Linked DNA regions of Kluyveromyces lactis. Each later gene encodes a partner of the first gene's protein in a complex. Links are inferred from orthologs where the notes say so. Each region holds a gene or a part of one and is shown on either strand. Other genes may lie near its edges.

What was found. The genes of interacting proteins can lie anywhere in the genome.
Region 2: the proteins of LAT1 (region 1) and PDX1 are in contact, whole or in part, in a cryo-EM structure (PDB 8OHS), measured with the Neurospora crassa proteins. The link is inferred for Kluyveromyces lactis from reciprocal best matches to the Saccharomyces cerevisiae genes LAT1 and PDX1. Residues at the interface, in XP_962786.1 of Neurospora crassa: Lys263, Lys266, Leu267, Gln269, Ala270, Pro453, Leu454; in XP_956161.2 of Neurospora crassa: Leu323, Gln326, Val327, Leu328, Lys332.

The regions. Positions count from the first base shown.
Region 1 is NC_006042.1:462,545-465,903, forward strand, and holds LAT1 (dihydrolipoyllysine-residue acetyltransferase), read right to left. Parts: upstream 1,985-3,359; coding exon 563-1,984; downstream 1-562. Other genes in the region: ribonuclease H2 catalytic subunit RNH201, read right to left, coding at 2,818-3,359. UniProt on the Saccharomyces cerevisiae protein: The pyruvate dehydrogenase complex catalyzes the overall conversion of pyruvate to acetyl-CoA and CO(2).
Region 2 is NC_006041.1:864,376-867,470, forward strand, and holds PDX1 (Pdx1p), read left to right. Parts: upstream 1-1,228; coding exon 1,229-2,446; downstream 2,447-3,095. Other genes in the region: XKS1 (xylulokinase), read left to right, coding at 1-662. UniProt on the Saccharomyces cerevisiae protein: Required for anchoring dihydrolipoamide dehydrogenase (E3) to the dihydrolipoamide transacetylase (E2) core of the pyruvate dehydrogenase complexes of eukaryotes. This specific binding is essential for a functional PDH complex.

The DNA of each region.
Region 1 (3,359 bases):
ATGTTTGTCTCTTAACGGTTAAAGTTCAACGAGGTCAAGGGAACTGAGCCTGCAATTAAGATACATTACCTGGTCAAAGTGTTAGCACAAACTTGTCTTCTTTTGTAAACATTTTTTTTCCAACTTTATTCCTGTATTTCGGGCAATGTAAAAACAGTCACGTGGTCTAAAATATTAAAAGAACCTTGGGGACTGCTATGAGAGAATAAGTTCAGTAGTATATACAGTAAATCGGAGAGAGTGCTGTTATGCAAAGCGATTGCGAGGAATGGTAAAAACATGAGATATTCAATTTCTTACATTATATCTATAGAAATGGTAATTTTTTACATAGTTGCAGTATGTTAAATCGAATTCTTTCCATGCAAGGTTGTGGGTCGAATAAGTCATAACTGACCTACAACGTTGTTAAAAGGAAAGCGTGGCTATTGGCATACGGTCGAAAAACTTCGACTAGGAGAATTCGTTTTGGAATGTTGGTGGGTAGGCTTTTTTCTTCTTTACTTTGAAATTCTTAACTTTATTATTTTTGATCATTAGATTTGTTAGGTTCTGAATCTGTTCATAACAATAGTTCCAATGGGTTTTCAATAACCTTCTTCAATTCCTTCATGAATTCACCACCCTTAGCACCATCGATAGTTCTGTGATCGAAAGTACCAGTGATATTCATCTTTTGGTCAAAGGTGAAGCCGAATTCGGAACCAGCATCTTCGACTGGGACCTTGTTAACGGTACCGATAGCCAAGATGGTAGATTGTGGTGGGTTGATGATAGAGGTGAACATGGAAACGGCAGGGTTCATACCCAAGTTAGAGATACAGATAGTACCACCTTGGAATTCTTCTGGCTTCAACTTATTATCCTTAGCACGCTTACCTAAGTCCTTGATTTCCTTAGAAATGGAAACAAGGCCCTTGGATTCGGCGTTCTTGACGATCGGAGTCAACAAACCGGTTGGGGTAGCAACAGCGACAGAGACGTCAACGTTCTTGAACTTTCTGATGACACCTTGTTCTGGCATCCAGTAAGCATTAGCATCTGGACATCTCTGAGCAGCAACAGCAATGGCCTTGATCAAGATGTCATTGATGGACAACTTGTATTGGTCTTTAGCAGTAGCGTTCAAGGATTGTCTCAACTTCAAAAGCTTAGAAACACTAATTTGAGAGGAAACAATGTATGATGGAATATTTTGAGTGGATTGCAACAAACGGTCACCGATGATTTGTCTCATGTTACTGATTGGAACATCTTCATAAGTGGCGGATGCTGGAGTTGGGGCAGCTAGGGCTGGAGCGGCCTTAGCAGCGGAGGATTCACGAGATGGAGCCGAGGCCAAGAAGGCTTCAACATCATCCTTAGTGATTCTGCCTCTTGGACCAGTACCTTCAACTTCCTTCAAGGAAACACCATGTTCCAAAGCGATGCTCTTGGCCAATGGAGAAGCAAAGATTCTAGTACCTGAAGAAGCAGAAGATCCAGAGGATTTCTTGGCAGCTGGTTTAGAAGCTGGTTTAGCACCTTCCTTGGATTCTTCCTTGGATTCTTCCTTTGCAGGTTGCTTAGCACCATTCTTGGCAGCTTCCTTAGCAGCGGTAGCAGATTCGGCGTCTGCAGCAGTGAAATTAGCGAAAGCTGGAACGTCAGATTCTTCCTCAACGTAAACAGCAAGTGGCTTGTTCACTGGGATATCCTTGGTACCAGCTGGAACCAAGATCTTAGCCAAATAACCTTCTTCTTGGAATTCGAAATCCATTTGAGCCTTATCAGTTTCAACTTCAGCAAGGACATCACCAGGCTCCAACCTGTCACCAACGTTCTTACTCCATTCCGTCAAACCACCTTGAACCATGGTAGGAGACAAAGCTGGCATACCAATGATGGTGTATGGTGGGTAAGAAGCATACGTTCTCAATTGAAGTCTGGCAGCACAAGCCAAGACGCTCATTCTTGGAGCAACTCTAGAAAGTAATGCAGACATTTTTCCTAGTTCTTTTCTTAATATATGTACACAAACAATTGATTCGTTCCCGTAACTTGGTTAATACAATTGAATATCAAATGTAAGCCGATTTTATCTTCTGGTACAGTCAATTCCTGTGTCCAATTCGTAGTGAAATGTAACCTTAATAAATATTGATATCTCAGTTCTAAATGAAGGAGGAAAAGGCTTGATGTATTATTTCAATCTTCTTCTTTCAAGCGAGATCAATTACCAACAGGTGTAATCAGTGTTCCAATAGTATCGTCAAATGCACTAGCGAATCACAATCATTTTTTTTTCTCTTGTGCAATCTAATCGATGTTATTTACAGATAAATGTTCTCCCATCTAACCTTTTTCCTTTTATTTCTTGAGAATTTCAGTTTTCAGAATTTTCGAAATCCAAAATATCCACACTATAATGGTGCGACGGGATAGAAGGTGGGATGAACAGAAACATGCCCGTGATCCGCTGCAAACTGATAGCTGCTAGAAGGGTTTCCGTCGTGATAGTTATAAAGCTTTATATAATGGTATTTCTCGAGATGATATTTATCTCAATCCCAAACCTGCTCTTGAGCTGTATAAATGCTTTCACAATTGATGGAGTAGAGTAACTTACCGATTAATATGTGGTGTAGGGAGTTTACTAGTGTCAATTTTTGGCTAGTGCCAGCGGCCTAAACGGTGGCCACAATTGTGCCAGGCAATGCAAATCTCGAATGCGGGTAGCTTATTTCGTAATCTGATGACAGCGTCGCGACTGTCAATAGATAAATTCATAATACGTTGTATATATAGATAGTAGGATAAATGGAAATGAGTCAGGGTTTACTGGTACCAGGAATCAAGTGTAATAGGTCTGTTTTTCTGTTCGGGTGCCCACTGCATTTTTTTCTTGGTCATTGCGTCTTCTTCCCATTCTATTTCGATGGTAGATTTACTATTTGCGAGCATCGTGGCACATGTTTGCCAAGAGAACCGTACCATGTAGGGAGACCATCCCATCAATGGTTTCATCTCGTTTCGTAGCCATTGAACGGTTTTTGAGTCACCAGGATACCCTGACCCAAGGATTTCATCTTCGGTTTTCTTGCATTGTGAAAGGATGATATCTCTGGTCACTTTTGCTACCACACTCGCAACACTTACAATGGGGTAAATAGAATCAGCCTTTTTCGCAACGGTGAATTTGCACTGTGGGAAGATACTTTCCAATTTCTTTTGATACGAGATAGGCGGACCCACGGTATCGACGTACACGTGACCTACTTTAACACCAGATTTCAATACATCGTCTATCAATGCGATTGTCACATCGTGCGCCTGTTCATTCAAATTGTAATTCTTTTCTGGTGGGAACCTGAACATCC
Region 2 (3,095 bases), on another chromosome or scaffold:
TTAACGAGGCATTGCTGGATAACTCATTATCTAACGATAATGAAATTGGATTATATTTCCCATTAGGCGAAATTGTTCCAAACATGGATGCTGTCACTAAAAGATGTTATTTCAAGTACATAGACAATAAAGTCGTATTGACAAATGTCAATATGTTCCCTGATAAGAGACTTGATGCAAAGAACATTGTAGAATCACAAGCGCTAAGTTGCAGAGTGAGAATTTCCCCGTTGTTATCCGAAGAGGCCAATGCGATCAACGAAACACAAGTGCTAAAATCAGAATTAAAGGTGAAGTTCGACTATGATTTCTTCCCCTTAGCGTCTTACGCCAAGAGACCTAATAGAGCCTTTTTCGTCGGTGGTGCATCAAAGAACGAAGCCATCATCAAAACGATGGCTAATGTCATTGGAGCCAAGAATGGTAACTACAGACTAGAAACTGCAAATTCGTGTGCTCTAGGCGGTTGCTACAAGGCGCTATGGTCCTTGCTCAAGGAGCAAAACCCCGAAACCCCATCGTTCGACCGATGGTTGAACGCATTCTTTAACTGGGAAAGAGATTGTGAGTTTGTTTGTAACTCGGACGCTGCCAAATGGGAAAACTACAACAACAAGATTCGAACTCTAAGTGAGATTGAAAGAGAAGCGTCATCACACTAAATCAAAAACGCTGTTAGATGAACCTCCAATTGACCGTGACGCATCAATAGCCATGATGCAAGTAAGTAAGTAAGTAAGTAAGTAGGCAATCAATCTTTGTACACATGATGAACCTCTCAAAGACATTACCCGGAAATCGTTATCCACTGTTTGTGAAAAAAAAAAAAAGTGTTATCCCACTAGAGACGACACAGTCCCCCACCCGACGGTTTTATACCGTTGAGATGAGACTATGGGAAAGGTTTAGAAATAAAGTATATATGTGAAAGATTGAATTGTCCAAGTACACAGAGCTTTGAACAAAGTTCAATTGAATACTTTTGTTGTCAATTGTTTCTGGGAGAAAGACGATTTTATCGACAATCTATTGGTAGAAAAAACGAAGTCTGTAAATTGGAAACCTATATTCGTCATTCAGCGAAAGAAGGTGGTAATTAAAAGTATCATTTACAATAGATAAGGACGACACAGATCAGAAAAGAAGCAAAACCATCCTTTGTTAGGCCTGTACGGAAGATATAGGAGAGAGACTGTAGTGTGTTTGTTGAAAAAACCTGTATTCAATAATGTTCCGTTTAGCAATTAAAAACAGGGCGTGTCTCCGTCAATTACACCAATGTAGAACTATGTTGAAGGCCCAAGCCTTTGGGATGCCTGCCATGTCACCAACCATGGAAAGGGGCGGTGTCGTTGATTGGAAGTTCAAAGCTGGTGATACTTTCTCTGCCGGTGATGTGCTCTTGGAGGTTGAAACCGACAAGGCAACCATTGACGTGGAGGCACAAGATGACGGTAAGCTTGCCAAAATTTTGAAGGAGAACGGTGCCAAGGATATTCCTGTCGGGGAACCCATTGCATACATCGCTGATGTGGACGATGATTTGGCCACTTTGGAGTTCCCAAAGCCCGTTGAAGCCAAGAAAGAATCAAAGCCAGTTGAAACTAAAAAGGAGGAGGCCAAACCAGTGGAAAAAACTGACAAGAAGAAGCAAACCAGTGCTTCAAAAACACCTTCTAAGAACGGCAGTGTTCAGGCTAATGCATCTCAAACATTATTCCCATCTGTGCTATCACTACTAGAGGAAAACAATATTTCAACTGCAGATGCGTTGGACAAAATCAAGGCCACTGGTCCAAACGGTAGAATCTTAAAAGGTGATGTGCTAGCCTATTTGGGTAAGATTTCCCAAGATTCGTTGAACAAGGTAACCGAGTACATCAAATCCCATGAGAAATTGGATCTAACCAACATCGAATTAAGACCTGCTAGAGAAACTGCAGCAGCAGCAGCAGCAGCACAAGCTGCTAAACCCGCTAAACCATTACCTCTAGTACTAAGCGAACAGATCACACTCCATGTCCCAGAAAACGTCACTTACTCCCAACTATCTGCTGCGATAGCATCGTACGTCAAGGAATGTTCATTCTTGGCACACGACGAACCATTGACCAATGACGCATCCGAACTATACGACCCATTATTCGAAGAGTTACTAGTACAAGAACCAACAAAACCTCGTTTCAAGGTCACTTATAACATAGTAGACTTGGAACCTACACCAAGACACCGTACCTCTTCACCACAACCAGATATCTTTGATTTATTATCTGGTACAACAACGCAAGAACTACAACAAGAGGCATCCGCAGTATCCAAACAACAACAAACACGTCACGAATACGCGTTGAACGTTTCCGTCGCCGTTGACGAATCGTTAACGGATGCCAAGCAAAGAGCAGAAAATTTCGTTGCCCAACTATCTAACTTGGAATTGTTCCAATGAGTAAAATTACGACAAGACATAAAGAGGAAAAAAAAACTAGAAGAAGCCGAAGCCAAATCTTCTTCGAAATATTCATGCCCCGTCCGCAAGCTGTATAGACTGGACTTAAGAGCCGGCAGATATATATCTATATTATCAGTATAATAGACAAAAAAACGACAACTCAAGAATTCAACCAAACAGGCACTTCAGACTTCTTTATGGTCTTGGCACAGTAAAGAAGATCAAAAAGTAACATCAAAAATTACTGCATCATATTTTCGCAGAATACCAACCTGGCACCAGTGCCCTATTCAGACTAAGCAGCTTTCCATTCCAAAAATACCAGTAGCCTAACTAAGCGAGATGCAAGCGAAATGCGAGATGAAATGAAACCCAAATAAAAAAAAAAAGACACAAACAAACAGGAACAAAATTGCGCGTTTTTCCCCACAGAACAGCACGTAATGTGTACCGTTTTTTGTTTTTCGTTTCAAGTACAAAAAAAACAAAAAACGGTACGCTGTTCACGTGTCTGAAAAACCAGGAACCGTAAAAGGATATTCCGTTAGCCAACAAAAAAATAGGTAAAAAGGGAAAAAAAAATCCAAGGCACTGTATTCTGTATATGTTAACTCTGCAAATCCAAATTCAATCTAAATTGGGAAAA